3 linked regions of the Daphnia pulex genome follow. The protein of the gene in region 1 binds, or shares a complex with, the protein of each later gene. Links are inferred from orthologs where the notes say so. Each region holds a gene or a part of one and is shown in the gene's direction. Other genes may lie near its edges.

Region 1 (6,920 bases):
GATCAACTTTGGGTTCAGGGAAGTTGAAAGTGGGGAACTTGGTCATATCGGCTCCATCAGCTCCACCATAAACACGGCGAACTCTGTCCAGCTCAGTTGCAATATCTTTCTGGATAGCAGGAGATGGGTCGACCAATTTTCCTCCGGCAGCTCTAAAGAACACCAATAATTAACAGATGGTAACAGAAATGATAAAATCTAATACATACTTGCTCTTGACTTTGTACTCATTCAGTTTGTCCAAAAAGAGTTTCTGAATGGGATCAACTGCTTTATTAGCAACAACTGCAGATATTCCAAACTGCCTCTGCAGGACTGTTCCTTGACGAACAGCTAGCCGGGTTCGAGTCGCAAACATGTTGATGACCTGAGAGTATAGATCATTTAGCCTTCACAAATATTTGGAAACTACAAACAGATCTCACAACAAATTAATCGGTAATGCAATACAAAGTTTAACAAGAAAGGAGACGCACAGTAAAATATATTTACCTATGCAAGTTGCTCACAGATGCAATCCAAAATGTCTTCCGTCGTCTACACTCAGTCTACTTTTCTCATTCACGAAAATGGCAGGATAGCCGCTTACCAATAAATCCCTAAACACTCAAAGAAAACGGAAAGGAAATATTTTAAGGAACATACCAGATGCAACATGAAAATTTTCCAAATACTTTACATATTAAAACTTTGAATTATCAATGAATTACATAATCTATATATTAATGTAATTTAAAATAAATTATGACGATTTGCAATTGTTTACCTTTAGATTTAGGCAATCACCAGCAGCCGACTAGCCGATCAGTACTAACAGCTGACTAACACACACCTAAAAATCGCCTGAAAATCGCTTCGTACATAACAACGTAGTGTATGTATTTCATTCAAACGATTGGTAAATATTTAATACCGAAGGGATATTTCAATAAATCAATTTCCATTATGGCGAAAGAATTCAAAAATTGGCAGGAAGCCAAAGGTATAATTAGAATTTGAAGAAGGCTGTGGTTGCTTTATCATGTAATTACATTCTTTACAGAGTACTTTGAAAAAAGCACTGCAACTCGAAATCAACATTGTGTTTCAGTGAAAGAGATTCCAACTTGGGAAGAGACATCAAAAGAAATTCCCCATTCTACATCAGATGGAAACAATACTGATTTAAAACCCAATTTATCAATCAATTCTAAAGTTTCTCTTTGGAAAGGGGATATAACTCAACTAGAAGTTGGAGCGATTGTCAATGCAGCCAATAGCAGGTTGGCTGGTGGTGGTGGAGGTGAAATTTAATAAAGAATATTGAAAATTTCTAAATTGTTTATCAATGTTTTGTGTTACCTCAACAGTTGATGGAGCAATTCATAAAGCAGCTGGTCCTTATCTTCTTGAAGAATGTCAATCTATCAAAGGTGGTTGTCAAACAGGGGATGCTAAACTGACAGGAGGATACAAACTACCTGCAAAGTGTAAATTTTTCTCTAGAAAAAGTATGAATGATATCCTGTTTCTATACAGTATTTATGTTTCCAGATGTGATTCAGACTGTTGGACCTATGGACCAAGACTCTAACTTGCTGTCTGATTGTTATTCTAATAGTCTTAAACTTGCGAATAAAAATGAACTAAAAACAATAGTAAGTCATGATTTTACATTCTAGTACCTTTTAGGGATTCCATTTCTTCATCTTCAAAATTTTAATTAGGTATTTCCCTGCATTTCAACTGGGGTTTATGGTTACCCCAATAGAGATGCAGCTGCAGTAGCATTGTTAACAACAAGAAAATTTCTTGAAAGTGATGAATCAACATTGGAAAGAGTGATATTCTGTGTGTTTTTAGATAAAGATCTAAAAGTATATCAAGAATTGCTACCTAAATATTTTTCAGTAAAGGCTGTTTTGTGATCTGATTTGATAACATGAAAAATTTTGAAAATTTGGTAATGTACAACATGTGTACAGCATGAACAGGCTTGGAATAAAAGAATGGCAAAAAATCTTTGAAATATCCTTTTTAAATTTGAATGCATCATCAAGTTCTTGCTTTGCCAAGGAATTTACTCAATTTAGTTTCCTCAGCCTTCCTATGATTTTGGCCAGTTTGGTTTCATGTTCTTTAAAGAAGATGTTCTAGTGTTGCATGCTTCAATGGATAATATTCAGTGTTGGTAAGAGTATTTGACTTTAGTATGCATATACAATTCATTCGTTTAATTTATTTAATTCTTTTTTGTCTGTTATTGAACATTTTGAATTTCCCGGTTGATTAACGGCGTTGCCAAAATTCTTCAGATAAATCATTGCATCAAAATAATGTAGTTCACAAATTAATTTAAAATCTATACTTTACAATTTCAAAATTTTTTTTAAGAAACTTTATCTCAAATATTTTATAACGATTCGAGATAGTCATTTAAAACCAGAGTTAACTGATTAACCAGCTGGATTAACCAATGATGTTAAGCAATCGGTTGCCGTGGCAACTCCCAACCCCCATGAGCTGCTATCGTCTGGCTCCGACGGGAAGTAGTTTTGGTTTTAGGGCGCTGTCAAATTGTGTGTCGTATTGTTCACGAATTGAGATTATCAATATAAAATCAACTATTAACAAACTTTGAGATGGATAGTCAAGGAAGAAAAGTATTAGTTTGTGATAATGGAACAGGGGTGAGTTATTTTTTTCTTTTGAAATATTTATTAATGTTGTTTTGCCGGCCATGTAGCAAACTAGCAACTCACCTTTATCAATGTTGGATAGTTTGTCAAAGTTGGATATGCAGGATCAAACTTTCCAGCACATATCTTCCCATCTTTGGTTGGACGACCTATCATTCGCGCTGCCAACAAAATTGGTGACATCGAAGTGAAGGTATGATAAAATTCTTTTCTTTCAAGCAGTTTCGATCTTACTGTCCATTTCCATGGTTTCGACATCACACAAAACTTTCTAGGGTTATCAAATTAAGGTGACATTCCAAGGATAAGTACAGAGGGAATCTCACATGTTTTGCATTTAAAAAAATCTGTGTCATGTTCTTATAACACAGATATAGTTTAAAAACCTATAAAGTCATAACAGTGATAGTAAAAAACCAACTTGTGCCGTCCTATAACATGAATGTCTTTGTGGAGTTTTGATTTTGATTGTAAAAAAAGGTTTTGTTATTTTCTAATGAACTGAATCATGATTTTGGCTTAATTGCTTGCCTTTCAATCAGGGATTTGCTCACATATCTGTAAGTATTGAGCACTTTATGGTGTGATATTGTTTGTTGGAATTTTGCATTGATGTTTAGTTGCATGTAACTTAGTGTTCTTTTTAATTGAATCTAAATTAATGAAGACTTTTATCAACAGGATTTAATGGTCGGAGATGACGCGAGTAAACTTCGCTCAATGCTTGAAGTGAACTACCCTATGGAAAACGGAATCGTTAGGTATATATCGATACATTTATTAAATTTGAACTGGTGTTTATAAATCTGCTTGTTTGTGTTCCTTAGGAATTGGGAAGACATGTGTCATGTGTGGGATTACACTTTTGGCCCTGAGAAAATGAACATTGACCCTCACCAATGTAAGGTCTTGCTAACAGAGCCTCCGATGAACCCTTTGAAGAATCGCGAGAAAATGATTGAGGTAAATGTTTTTAATTGTCACCATGTTTCAATGGTGGTGGTGGAAATGGGTGTGTAAAAATTCGAATCTTTGTGCCGTTTGTTACAGGTCATGTTCGAAAAATATGGATTTGCCGGAACCTACGTGGCCATCCAAGCAGTTCTAACACTTTACGCACAGGGTCTGCTGACGGGAGTTGTTGTCGATTCTGGAGACGGTGTCACTCACATTTGTCCTGTGTACGAAGGGTTTGCAATGCCTCACTTAACCAGACGTCTTGACATTGCCGGAAGAGATATTACCCGATATCTCATCAAGGTAGAATCAATGATCCATCCCGCAATAGTTTGGCATGAATTCAGTAATATTCCTCTTTATAGCTCTTGCTGCTGAGAGGCTACGCATTCAATCATACGGCAGACTTTGAAACTGTTCGCCAGTTGAAAGAAAAACTTTGTTATATTGGCTATAACATTGAAACGGAACAAAAACTGGCTCTCGAAACAACCGTTTTAGTCGAATCATACACAGTAAGTTTCCCTTTATTCTACCTTCGAGTCGCTGTGGCCATGGCATATTTAAAAACCAAAAAATTCGATTTCTAAAAAAGCTTCCAGATGGGCGCGTCATCAAAGTGGGTGGTGAACGGTTCGAAGCCCCTGAAGCGCTTTTCCAGCCTCACTTGATCAACGTTGAAGGGTCAGGAATCGCCGAGCTAGTCTTCTCGACTATCCAAGCGGCCGACATCGATGTCCGCCCGTCGCTATACAAACACATCGTCCTTTCAGGCGGTTCAACCATGTATCCCGGACTTCCGTCTAGGCTCGAACGGGAAATCAAACAGCTGTACCTTGAACGAGTTCTTAAAGGCGACACGGAGAAACTTACGGTACAACGATGAAATTTTGTGTTCTAGACGTACATTTTACTTACTACTCTTTTCTTGGCACGCAGAAATTCAAAATTCGTATTGAAGATCCTCCTCGCCGTAAAGACATGGTTTTCATTGGTGGTGCCGTATTGGCCGATGTCATGAAAGACAAAGAATCTTTCTGGATGTCGAGGGAAGAGTACAATGAGCGTGGCATCCGCGTGCTGGACAAACTGGTCAACCGCTCCTAACGCGCAATTTTAAACGCTCGTTCCTCTTTTCCGATTCCCATCGAAGGTCATGTTATTACTAATCAGATGTCCATTTTTTTTTTTCATGTTGCTGGGTTCACATTCCCGCCCTCCCTAATTTTTGTTGACCCCCAAATTCTGGCTGAATAAACAAAAATAGCCTCTGTAATTATAGCAACTAATCAGGCGAGAGAAGAAAACTCAAGCAATTTTATTATTGCACATAGGGGGAAAGTATGGCCGTGGTAGCAGATAATTTCAGAGAGGAGGACATATTTAACATTCCCAAGGCAACAACAGGAGAAAGAAAAAAAAACGAAGGGAAATACCTTTTTAAAAGGTTACACTGGGCACGACCATGAAGCCATAGTTTAAAATGGTTAACAACGTCATTATTTAAAAAAAAAAAACAGCCGCAAGAAATGCACACAAGGATATGTGAATTCTCGGATAAGGCACAGGCGTAGTATAGGAGAATGAATGTAGTTTTTTTTTTCCGTTGACTTCTTGCATTTTCTTTAACACAAAGAAGATAAGAAGGCGGCCATGACTACGATTTGACATTTAAACAACAATTCTTTTCTTATTTTTTTCCGAAGCTCTACCTTTTAGTCTTTGCGCAGGGCGATGAGAAGGAGAACAAACAATTTGAAACGGATAAATACATGTACGTCATGAAATCATTTAGTTGGTCCCGATTTGTTGTCGTTTGACACCGAAAAAGGAGAAACATACAGAAAAGAGGCAGTAGATAATAGTATACAAAAAAGGATGGCACTTGGTAGTAAATTTATAGGTGGTTTGCGCCTGTCTTATATGATGTTATTTACCGGTAATTCTGCCCAGAGAGGTTATTATCTCCGCCGCCGTAAGAGCCCCGCTGCTGGATCAAATTTACTTGACTGTTGACGTACGACGGAGGGCCTTCGCCGCTGTTGTTGTTGTAATTACCGGCAGACGTTTCGGAAGTGACGTCATAAGTTGACGAATGGTGATGATGATGATTGCCGGCCATGGCGGCAGATTCAGAACTGGATCTGAGCATTCCAAATTAAATTTCGGTAGATTATTTCAACTGGTTTTCACAATCAAATCAGGAGGCATTCTTTGTGTACCTGTTACAGTCGTACATCGGTCCATAATTGGAAGAGGATAGGCCGCCCGACATGACGTAAGCCTGATCCGAAGGAACAACAACCTGATGATCGAACGAGACAACTGATTCACCACCTCGAGTTCCTACCTGTGAAGCGGTACCAGTGCCGGGATCGTGTTGTATGAAGTCGGAAGAACAACTGGTTGGAGTTGGACGGTGATTTCCGGCGGCTAAATTGAAATGAGCAACAACAAGACAGAAAAAAAAAAAAACAGTTGAAAAACCAAATAAGAACCACGTACGATAGACGACGGCAAAAGAAAAAGTTTAGACTGGGTCAAACTCACCTGTTTTTAAACAAGTGGGCGAGTGCATGGCCAGCACATCCATCAAACGGCGCTTTTCCGCCTCCAGCCTTTGGATTTCTGAACGAAAGTTAACGTTTTGATCCTCGAGCGCGTCCGATTCCTGCATCAAAATGCCAGTTCGCTCTTTTTTGCGGTTTCGACATTTGGTAGCGGCTACTTTGTTCCGCTCACGCCTTCTCCGACGACGTTCTTCATCTTCTGTTGTCAGCTGTCCCATCCGCACGAAACACGGAGATTAACGAGAAAGTTACCAGCTGCTGTTCGACGCGCAAAAAAGTAAACGAAAACTCGGAAAATTCAGAAATACCTCATCTTTGAGTGGCATGTGGCCGTGCTGATCCGACTCGAGCGACCCTCGGCCGGAAGCCAAACGCTTGCTCTGGATCGTCAGTTTGAGTCCCTCCTTGATCAAATACGTTCGAGTGTTTTGGATGGATGGCGGGCCACCGGCCGGCGGAGTAGACGGAGTGGCCGGCGAGGAACATAACGAAGAAAAGGAAGAAAAAGATGAAGAGGCGTGTTCGCCCGGTGATGAAGGGCCATCGCCCGGGGTCGAAGCTGGAAGTCCCGCTGAGACTCCTGCGCTTCCCAGTGGAGTCGAAGAGGACGACTGGAAGTAACTGAACGACGAAGAGCCGGAAGCGTTGCCGATGTTGGTAGCAGATCCGTACCGTCCTCCGCCCCCGTAAGATGCGACATTGTCAAACGGAGCTC
Region 2 (5,528 bases), on another chromosome or scaffold:
AATCAGAGAAGAACCAACAAGTTTGATGTTAAATACCAAACTATGCCTCATTTCAATGACACATTCGAATACGTTTTTGTCTAGTACGGTATTCTTCAAAAATCAGCCAACTTGTCGGATCCATTTTCAGACTTCAGAAAGACCCGCGAGCCTTATTAAGATTTATCTGGAATGTATTTACCTGAATCGTTTCGGTCTGCGTGCTACAAGAGTTTCAGTAAATCAACCAGAGACGAACTTTGTTGGTTTTATGGAGAGTGTTGAATCATATTCGTCGGTTCAGCAATTTAGTTTGTTGATTCCTTTCAATCGCTTAGCTTCTAAATTGCGTGATATTTGTATCATTTTTGAAGTCCACGTAATTGGAGAGTCATCTTTTTGTTTACAGTTAACCGATTCACAATGGAAAAAACAGATTATTGAATCCATGAATGGGCCATTTACGGACCTCGTGTTAACGGTTAGAGGTCATAAGCTTCCAGTCCACAAATCAGTTTTGGCCGCTCGCTGCCCTGCTTTGACGGCAAAAATAAAAGATGCTGCAGTTGAACAACTTATTTTGGATGAAGATCCTGTTACTTTCCGAAGATTTCTTCATTTTCTCTACACTGGTCTACTAGATGACTGTGATTATTATCTCATAGATATGAAAACGTATGCAAAGAAATACTTCGTAGATGAAATGCTTCCTAAATTTACCGCAAATGGAACAATGGAAAAAATGGTCACGAAGTATTCTTATATTTAATTCATTTAAATTTCATAAACCATAAATTGATATATTTTTAGATGTGAAGCTGACGTGAACTCACAATTAACGAAAGGAGGTGTCGTAATGCAATATTCATGGACGTTGAAAAAGTTGCCAACTTTGAATCGCACAACTTTCTCTAATAAATCAAAGGACGGTATGTGGTTCGGCGTTGGTATTCAGTGTGTACGTATCATCCCATATACAAATTGTAGCGAGTTCGACCTATACTTTTTTACTGGTCGAAACAGTCGAGTGGTTGGTGTCTCATACTTCAACAGATGGGATCCCTGTTCACAGAAGAAACACAACATGGATCTTAATAAAAATCTGGTCTTCACAAGCAATTTCTCCGTTGCAAATGGATACAAATGTTACCAGTTCACGTTCTGTGTGACGATCGAACAAGCGGATAATGAGGAATATCGATACGAATTGCAGGACAGTCTTTGCCCAACTCAGCTTTGGCGTTCCGCTTTGGATGGCATGACCACCGATGTTCAGTTGCTCGTCTCTGGGCGTATCTTTCATGCCCATCGATGGATTTTGGCCGCCCGGAGCCCAGTTTTTGCCGCAATGTTTTCCCACGACATGCTCGAGGCGAATACTGGGTGTGTTGACATCAGCGACATTACACCAAGCATATTCGAACAAATTTTGTTCTTTATTTATAATGGCCGCATACTCGACTCTACCCCTAATTTACTTCTATTGGAGGCAGCTGATAAATACCAAATAGAAACGTTGGTTTTCATTTGTCGGGCTTCTTCATCTCCAATGGAAAAGGACAGTTGATATGGTGATATGTGCTGCATCAACAAATCAGTGCAACAAATTAGTGCAATCGTCAACAAATTAGTGCAATCGTTACTTTGATTCTATGTTTGTTAACCTATTATTTCTCAAAATAAAACAAATATACCGGCATCGACTGCACGTAGCGGATATCTATCTGCATATATCATTTCTAACGCTCCCTTAAAAAAACACACAAAACAAAAGTTTAGTTATAGACTTATCTTCAATTCTACCTATACAAGTAATATATAACAAACTAACAACAAGTCTTAGATCAAAGATATTTACGAAACCCCTAAGGACTAAAACTTGTTTATATTCGGCTTGATTTGTGATCTGTGATCTCACGGTAAATTTCTTGAATAAAGGAAATTGATTGATTGATTTTTTTGCTTTATTTAATACGGGCCCTCTACTGGCAGCAGATTGAACTGTTTCCATTCTTCGTCGGTTCCCATGTTATCTTAAAAAATTGCGGTTTTTGACAGATCCGGCCCACCCCACTGAAAAAAGCCAAAGAAAGCACTAAATTGAGTAGGGCCTAAATAGTGTCCGTGGAACATATTCTTGAACTATCTTAAGATTCTACGCTTTTCAGCTGTGCAAATTGCAAAAAATGGTTAGTTTGCTCTTAAACTTCTGTGTTGTGATTCAAACCCAGCTAATCCAAAAAGAACTTTGAAAATATTATGTTTTGAACTCATCAGACAAAAACACATTTCAAACACTTTACCACACCCTCTTCCTTTTATCATTCCTATCGTCTTATGTGTACACGTATAATTAATATTTTGTCATTTTTAGTCAGCAACTTTGAGGCCTTACTTGTCCGCAGTTAGAAGTACACTGGAAGCTGCAATGTGTTTGGAAAACTTTTCTTCCCAAGTTGTTGAAAGACACAATAAACCTGAAGTGGAAGTCAGGTAAGGTTAAATGAGTGAAAAAATTGAGTAAACATTAATAAATACTATTTTGAAACATAGAACAAGCAAGGAATTATTACTGAATCCAGTTGTTATTTCAAGAAATGAGAAAGAAAAAGTCTTGATAGAAGCCTCTATTAATTCTGTTCGGATTAGCATTTCTATCAAACAGGCTGATGAAATTGAAAAAATTCTTTGCCACAAATTTATGAGGTTCATGATGATGCGAGCAGAAAATTTTGTTGTTTTGAGACGAAAGCCTGTTGAGGTAAACTCTTTTTAACATATTCTAAAATATGTTGTTAAACTCTTTTTAAAATATTCTAAAATATGTTGTTAAGGTAAACTCTTTTTAAAATATTCTAAAATATGTTGTTATACATTGATAATTTCTCTAGGGTTATGACATAAGTTTCTTGATAACTAATTTTCATACTGAAGCCATGTACAAACATAAATTAGTGGATTTTGTCATCCACTTCATGGAAGAGATAGACAAAGAAATTAGCGAAATGAAATTGGCCGTCAACGCACGAGCCCGTGTGTGCGCTGAGGAGTTTTTAAAGCGGGTGTGTTTTACTGTCAATTTTTTCATCAGTTATTACCGACTAACATTTCCCATTTTTTAATAGTTTTAATTCGAGAATTTATTGGATAACTGGAAGAAAATTGAGACCAGATAATTCCCAAGTTTATTTGCATAAAAACCTGTTTCCAAGCCAAGCTAATTCAGTAAAATGATCCGACTTGTGTACAATCAGATAACTCCTAGTTTGAGTTCATGCACAAGCTCAAAAAATAATAAATGAAAATATTACAGAAAACTATATTGTATTTAGTCAAACTGGAGTGTGCATATTTCTTGATAATATCTACTTGGAACAATATCAGTGCTCCGCAATTAGATAGAAGGAGCTAACCAGTTCAAAAACTTCAAAGCCATTTCAAATCCTAAGAAGCAAACGGCATTTGCAGGGAAGGCTCTTTAAAGAAAAATGGACGTTAAAAAATGTTATCAAAAATTCTTATTTAATTAAATATGTCCCTATTACCTAAGAAACACTGGAACTGCTCCTCTATAGAGAGCTCGAACACCTTCTTCGCGCATCAACACTTTAAAGACGTCACGCACTCCATTAGGATACGTTCCTTCGGGAGCTTCAAGTGGGAAAATAATCGAAGATATAAAGTTATCATATTACCTTTCACTTAACTCATTTATTTAATAGCCTAATATCTGATTCTATTAAAAAATATTACCTGTTTGTAGTCTACTCTTCAGTACATCCGGTGGGATGGCAATAATCCAGTTGGCGATTCCTGCCATTCCACCGGCAAACATTGTCCGAATTGGGCTTAATTTCCCGTCGGAGTTTTCTGGTGCAAGTGCAACCTGGAGCCATTCATAGGTCATAAAATAGATCCCGCTGGCTGGAACATCTACCAAATCGAAAGAGAGTTCATCTGTAGTTGCAGAAATTTTCTTCTTGAACTATAGTTGAGTCAACCTTACCTCTGAGCAGTGTAGCTCCTGTTCCCCGATAGATACTCCGTATACCTCCTTGTTTATATAACTGCCGAATACAGTCAATTGGTCCTGCATACTTTGCAGGGCCAGTACTGGCTTGTTGAACCTACAAGCATTGGGTGAGAATTGATATAGTCTTCCTTAATTTTCACCACTTGCAAATCTACTACCTGAAGAAGACATTTAATTCTCTCACCAGGAGCCATGATGCTTTAAGATTGGAAAAAATAATGATTATTGATAGACAATGCTGTTAAAGGTTAAGTATAGTATTCGGTATTCCTACATTGTTGTGCCAATTGCAGAAAATGCTCCTGCATTAAAAAGCTGGAGTAATGATAGCCTTTCATTGGGATGGCTTTGTTGAAGCTTTTTTCCAATTCCAAAGCCTAGAAAACTTATGGCAAAAATAGGTGCAACTCCAGTAATTGGGGCAGCCATACCTTGATGAATAAGAATTTCAGATGATAGTTCAAATTGTCTAATATAATTACACACACTGGAAAAGACCCCAATATATCAAAATATATTCACCTTTATAGAGACCTCGAAATCCTTCATGCTTGATTGTTTTTGTCAAGCAGTCCCATGTTCCACTATACAGAGGAGCCTGTCCAGGTATGATAGGCATTGTTTGAAGTCGAACCTAAAGCAAAATGTTTTTAAAATCAATAAATATCAAGAAGAAGAACGTTCACATCATATACCTTTAAAGTATCAAACGGGTGGCCAACAAATATGGTACAAATACCGCCAAAACCACCGGCAAAAAAATTTTTGATTGGGCTGACTTTATTCACTTCGCCCATTTTATATTTTTTTCTAGTACTAGAACCTCTTGCAATTATTTAGACAAGAAAGAAATAACAAAGTGAAAAAACAGGGATGTGACTTTTAGTGATTGTAATTGTAAATAACTAGTGAAAGAGGAACTGGTTCTTCCAGTCTTTACAGCGCTTCACAGATAGAAACAAGCATGCTTGTAAGTTGTAGCAGCCGAAGCCCGAAAGAGCTGATATCCTATTGCCCCTTTAGGCAAAGTCAGATAACAACATTTCATTGGCCACTACGTTGATCGATACAAAATCTGCAAATTATCACTCGTTTAGACAAATTTAGATTTCATACCATCAATTAAAGTTAACTACTTCATCAAATAAATTTTCTTTCGCAATCGCGAAAAAAAAAATAATAATCGCATTTTACTGAGCAGCACTGAAGGCAATACAATCGTTTTTTTTTTTAGTGTCCATAATGATTCACACTCCCGTAGAGTGGCATTTTGGTGGATTTTTCCGTTTTTTCGAATAAGAATAACGGGAGAGCACGATATATTTAATTATTTATTACTGTATGTTTATTCATTTAAAATTATTCTGTAAACATATGAATAATGGGAATTGAAACATTGAATGTTGAATCTGAGTGAATTGTTTTCGAATTTTCAATTCATTGCCGTGTGATCCGCCTGTTATTATTTTGATTTTTTAAACAATCAATTGACAACAGCAAACAATGGACTGCAATA
Region 3 (5,114 bases), on another chromosome or scaffold:
GCCGAGTTTAGAACAACAGATTTAACAGAGCTACCATCAGAGCGAGGTGACTGGCCCGCATGTGATGAGGCTTGAAAATTTTCTCCTGGAAACTTGACTGTATCTAAATAACAATGAAACCACAAAATGCAAGTAAAATAATTGTTTTACTCAGAAGCTAACAATACTTTCTTACTATGTTTTATTCCATAGAATTCGTCGATAAGACCCTCATAGGTCAACTGAGTGACAAAAGGAGTTATCAAATCTACAGTCCAATCAATGATCATGAGAGTGTCGAACAACGGAGACATGGGGGGATCACAGTCTACCCCAATATCACGTCGCATTCGAGTCATCAATTCGAATAAGTTACGGGCATGGCGCCCCTTACCCACAACGTTGGGGAAAATGCCATATAAACTTTGGAGGGACATTAACCCATGAGCCATTTGGTGTAAGGAGCTGATTTCATTGTCAACATATAAATCCTGAGAATAAATTTGAAGAAGTTGATGACAAGCAATCCCTTTCAAAGTTTGGCTCATAAATAAATACCTTGAAAACATTATCGAGTTCCATTGAAATGACATCACTATCTAGTGGGAAAAAATCAACAGGCAGTTCATCAATAGAAGTAAGAGTTCCATACACTCCTTTGTCCTAAATGAAGTAATAATTATGTCAACAATTTCTTCTTCGCTGATTTAAGTAACTTTAACCAACCTTGAGCCGCTGTTCACATACTGCACTTTGTCGGGAGACAAAAATTAACTGATATTCCTTACTAGCAGAATGTCCTTGGCTTTCTTCGCTGAAATGTAAATCAACTTATTGTTGACTATTTAAAGTTAAAATATGTAGATTATTCATACCTGTGCAAGTTATCGGCAATAAAATCTATCAGCTCAACTTCAGGTCTTGTGATGAACAGTATATTTTTAACAGATATGGAAGGCAAGCGCCCAGGTTTTAACTGGAACATTTTTACAACATCTAGTTCCTTAAGAAAACTGTATTCTGCCACCAAACCAATGGGGCCAGTGAGTTGTTCATCCCAAAATATTGCCTAGCAAAATTGATGAATTTACGTACATTTCTTAAATGGAATAGCACACATCAAAATACCTTTGTTCCACTGAACTTCTCTAAAAGAGAAACAATATCCTGTAACAATAACAAAACTGTTGACGAAATTTATTTTTACTGAACAAGACATCAACAGACTGTCAACAGACAACCTAATGGATTTTGTGGTTGTCCTAAGTCACAAAAAGCTAATGACTAAATCCGCATAAAAATTAATAAAATTTAGTATTACCAAATGAATCGAAACTTACCTAAGCGCTGAGATAAATTACTGTAAGTGTACACAAAAAGTTTGAAGAAAATCGATGCAGTAGTTTAGTTTTCTATAAATTTATTCTGATTCTGAATTAAAGGTTCTGGAAGCCTGGCCCAGAACAGCGTACCTCCCCCACACCCCCCCCCCCTCCACACACACACACCCGCATTTACTTTAATGCCTTCTGGTAGTACAAGTACTACCCTCAGGGATAACCGTACCAACAAAACAGGGATGACGTGTAAACATCAAATGTGCAAGTGATGAAGAGAATCTATTTTTAGTTTGTTCGACGATGGCAACAACAACACACAAAAAAATGGGCGCCTCTGAGCTAACCAGGACGACAGCCTGGCTAGAGTTGCAACAAATGAAAACGAGTGAGTCGTTGGTCGATAATAATACAGTGGCAAGACTCTATCTGAATAACCACAACCACAGACGGGCGTGTGATACGTGACTAGCAAGCCAAATCAATGCATTCAAGATAAAAAAACAGCTGCAAAAAAACTTACCTTTTTTGTGTAGCTCAATTCACGACCGAATGGCTGCATAACAATCGATAGACATTACAACATGATCGATACGTAATCGTATCGGCCTTTCGTCGGCCGATATCTAAGTCACTATAGTATCTTTGAGGAAGGGGCTGGGTTTCCTTTTCCACCACAACAATTTCTTGTTTTCAATATTGAGCAATATCAGCCGGCTCAGTGTTTTTTTTTCTTTTTGAGCTGTCAATTCGCACATATTTTTTTCCACAGAAATGCCGGTAAGTTTGTTTATCAGATGTCGTATTTTTCGGATTTTTGAAAAGTGCAGAATACGTTGGTTTGTGTTGTGCCTGACAATTGTGTTGTTTCTGATTTCAACAGGCTTATCATTCCCAGTTTTTGAACCCACCCCAAGTCGTTGGGAATATGGCCATTTTGCCGTTGAAAACCCAGTTCCGAGGGCCAGCTCCCAAAGAAATGGGGGAGTCAGATGTCCTGGATGAGGCATTGTACTACTTCAAGGCAAATGTCTTCTTCCGCACATATGAAGTCAAAAGCGAAGCAGACAGACTCCTGATCTACCTTACACTCTACATCACAGAGTGCCTAAAGAAGCTCCAAAAGTGTTCAAACAAGAATACAGCTCAGAACGAGATGTATACCTTGGCAATATCAAAGTTTGACATTCCTGGGGAACCTGGTTTCCCGCTCAACTCTGTATATGCTAAACCTACCAGCCAGCATGAAGCAGGTAGAGTAGCAGTTGTAAAAACATGCTTTTTCTCATCTGATAACATTTCTGTTGCTTTTTAAATAGATTTGTTGAGGCAGTATCTGACGCAAGCCAGGCAAGAGATGGGTTTAAGACTGGTAGATAAAGTTTTCTGCACAGAAGATGGAAAGCCTTCCAAATTTTGGCTCTGCTTTGCTAAAAAGAAGTTCATGGACAAGTCATTATCAGCTCCTGGGATGTAAGAAGTCATTGCGTTTATCCTTACGTTTATCTTTCCGTTAATTACGTGCAACATGGGTTGATCAAATAAATCTAATTTGTTCAAGTTTTATTTTTAGCATTAATATTATTGCCTGTACCAATAAGAAAAAAACACAACAACGTCTGGAACTATATGGCTGTATTGGCCCATCAAATAATAAAAAAATACAGTATTTGCGAAGAAAATGAGAATGCATCGCTTTGAATAGCTGGGTTTGGTCTTCGCACTATATGAATAAAGGGACCATATTCGGCATGTATCGAATGGCCGAGAAGAACAGTTTTTTATTAGATTCATAGTTCAGTGTTTGCAGCTGGACGTTTCGGCTGGAATGATTGGAGAATGTTGACTCGTCTCTCCATTTCGTCTTTCTTTTCTTTTGCCAATTTTCCTTTGCGCAGTGTGTCCACTCGAGATAATTCCGATTGAAGGAAATCGTTGCCTTTCTCCAGCATTTTGCGCATAACCTTGACGTATACTTCAGCTGATTTCCGTTCGCTGCCAAGTGAAACCTTGTCCCATTCATCCTCCGATTGGCGTAAGATTTCCTTCCGGTCGGAAGGGCTTGAAGCAGCTACAAACCGGTTTGCTAGTCCGTCAAATACTTCCAAACATCCCGGTAAGCCGATCCACAAACCACTCGTGGAACTTACGAATCGTTGCATCATATCGAGTTTGAATTCTCCCTGCACAGAAATCAGATCCATGTCATTGATGTACTTGCTTTAACAATTTTTTATTGGGTACCTGGTATCGGATTGGCTCAGCCTTTCCTTCTGTGAACAACAACATCACAGGGTACTCTTCTTTGACAATCTTGTATCGTTCAGCTATGTCTACATTTTCTTTATCTCCATAATCTTTTACTCCTACTTCTGCAACTAGGATGTCCGGATTGGAAGACAGGGTGGAAGACAATTTCCCGAATTGTTCATGTTTTTCACCGTAAGGATATGCAACATCAATCTTCACAATGGCAGCTTTGAATTTAGATACAACCTGGGTAATCAAAGCAATTTCAATAATAATATGTTAAATAATGCTTAATTTGTTGGCTGATTTAACATGTTGAATAACAATATCAAAGAAAAACCTGTTTAAAATTTAAAATCAATTTACACAAAGGCATTAAAATATAAAAGGTAAGCTTATAAATATTAACATGCCTTCTCAAAAGAGTAAGAGTCCAGTTGAACACAGCCTTGACAGTTATTAGATGATGCACTGGTAAAGGACAGACAGCTGATCAACAAAAATAGATAAAAAGGACTAGGAGACATAATGCACTTGATTGGAAGGAACGCTGGTAATAATACTGAATAATCAGTAATGCACTCTCGTCTGATATAACTGTACTGATACCGTGATAACTGATAAAACCGTATAACTCAAACGACTTAACAAAAGTCAATATTCTGGATTTTTCTTTTACACGTTTTCCAATTCGAAGATGACAGCTCACAATGTTGCCACGTTGGTGCACACGTCAACATAAAATGTTTACGTTGATTTGAACGCCACGACAGAACAGATTCGGCGGGAATTTAACGCTCAATTTATAGTAATTTATAGCCTTATAGGTAGGAAGGGAGGAATCATTTAAAAGTAATTTTATCTATAGATGATTACGTAATTTCACTTTTCAAATCTGAGCAGACAACTAATTCTAGAATAGGCTCCTAGTGTCACCTTATACCAATCCTATTACGAAGTTAAGAAGAAGAAACCTACAACAGGCATTAGCCAATCGTTACGTGGCGCTAAATTGATAGACGACTAATTAAGTAGTAAGCGTTGGATGGTTCCAATAAAATTGTTGTTGCGGATGTTGATAGTCTGCTCCATTCGTAACAAAATAAGCCACTTAAAGTTCATGATGCTGGAAAGATTGCGATGCCGAAAGATTAGCCTGTGCCAATTAATGACGACAGTTAAGTATGGCTAGACTAGAAGACAGCTTGTCTGAGTCAGATAGCGCTTAATAATTTAAACTCGAGAGAATATAACGTGATATGCATCCTCACATTTCTTGGTGCCCATCATCATGCGTCGGTAAACTAAGCTACTCTGTTATTTACATGGTCTAAAAAGTAGAAAATTGATCGTTCCAACCGTCTGGAATTGGAGTTTTTTGTGTGAGCTCTGGCTGTCACGAACGTAGAAAGCAAATAAGAATGACATCTAAATAACGTTTATGAGTTCAAAAGTTTAGATGGTAAAGTTAATCACAAACACAAGTCGTGTTTTAAGTAAATAACGACACGCGCGATTGCACTTGATAAAAGACCGTCCTTCTGTTCA

Evidence for each region. Proteins that work in one complex are often made in the same cells at the same time.
Region 2: the proteins of actin-related protein 2 (region 1) and actin-related protein 2/3 complex subunit 4 are in contact, whole or in part, in a cryo-EM structure (PDB 6YW6), measured with the Homo sapiens proteins. The link is inferred for Daphnia pulex from reciprocal best matches to the Homo sapiens genes ACTR2 and ARPC4. Residues at the interface, in NP_005713.1 of Homo sapiens: Tyr222, Val223, Tyr225, Gln229, Glu230, Lys232, Leu233, Ala234, Leu235, Glu236, Thr237, Thr238, Val239, Lys253, Thr308, Met309, Tyr310, Pro311, Gly312, Pro314, Ser315, Asp346; in NP_005709.1 of Homo sapiens: Val29, Val30, Glu31, Arg32, His33, Lys35, Pro36, Glu39, Val40, Ala98, Glu99, Asn100, Phe102, Ile103, Leu104, Arg105, Arg106, Lys107, Leu117, Thr119.
Region 3: actin-related protein 2 (region 1) and actin-related protein 2/3 complex subunit 3-like share a complex: the UniProt entries of both Homo sapiens proteins name them as parts of the arp2/3 complex. The link is inferred for Daphnia pulex from reciprocal best matches to the Homo sapiens genes ACTR2 and ARPC3.

Annotation. Positions count from the first base shown.
Region 1 is NC_060020.1:5,357,003-5,363,922, reverse strand, and holds actin-related protein 2, read left to right. Parts: upstream 1-2,476; 5' UTR 2,477-2,621; coding exon 2,622-2,669; intron 2,670-2,760; coding exon 2,761-2,871; intron 2,872-3,359; coding exon 3,360-3,439; intron 3,440-3,505; coding exon 3,506-3,641; intron 3,642-3,728; coding exon 3,729-3,938; intron 3,939-4,000; coding exon 4,001-4,150; intron 4,151-4,230; coding exon 4,231-4,509; intron 4,510-4,574; coding exon 4,575-4,742; 3' UTR 4,743-4,911; downstream 4,912-6,920. Other genes in the region: ATP synthase-coupling factor 6, mitochondrial-like, read right to left, coding at 1-152, 210-358; macro domain-containing protein CT2219-like, read left to right, coding at 877-985, 1,043-1,282, 1,350-1,469, 1,534-1,637, 1,707-1,907; activating transcription factor 3-like, read right to left, coding at 5,569-5,779, 5,858-6,068, 6,186-6,423, 6,514-6,920. UniProt on the Homo sapiens protein: ATP-binding component of the Arp2/3 complex, a multiprotein complex that mediates actin polymerization upon stimulation by nucleation-promoting factor (NPF).
Region 2 is NC_060028.1:5,631,181-5,636,708, forward strand, and holds actin-related protein 2/3 complex subunit 4, read left to right. Parts: upstream 1-1,993; 5' UTR 1,994-2,165; coding exon 2,166-2,168; intron 2,169-2,353; coding exon 2,354-2,472; intron 2,473-2,532; coding exon 2,533-2,740; intron 2,741-2,870; coding exon 2,871-3,041; intron 3,042-3,104; coding exon 3,105-3,110; 3' UTR 3,111-3,296; downstream 3,297-5,528. Other genes in the region: uncharacterized protein LOC124209792, read left to right, coding at 1-732, 790-1,546; mitochondrial carnitine/acylcarnitine carrier protein-like, read right to left, coding at 3,374-3,455, 3,525-3,630, 3,733-3,912, 3,986-4,106, 4,171-4,210, 4,287-4,443, 4,535-4,646, 4,708-4,809. UniProt on the Homo sapiens protein: Actin-binding component of the Arp2/3 complex, a multiprotein complex that mediates actin polymerization upon stimulation by nucleation-promoting factor (NPF).
Region 3 is NC_060026.1:13,598,915-13,604,028, reverse strand, and holds actin-related protein 2/3 complex subunit 3-like, read left to right. Parts: upstream 1-1,825; 5' UTR 1,826-2,090; coding exon 2,091-2,096; intron 2,097-2,199; coding exon 2,200-2,569; intron 2,570-2,635; coding exon 2,636-2,793; 3' UTR 2,794-2,882; downstream 2,883-5,114. Other genes in the region: vacuolar protein sorting-associated protein 33A-like, read right to left, coding at 1-103, 176-470, 538-642, 706-793, 855-964; endoplasmic reticulum resident protein 29-like, read right to left, coding at 3,107-3,499, 3,561-3,812, 3,980-4,093. UniProt on the Homo sapiens protein: Component of the Arp2/3 complex, a multiprotein complex that mediates actin polymerization upon stimulation by nucleation-promoting factor (NPF).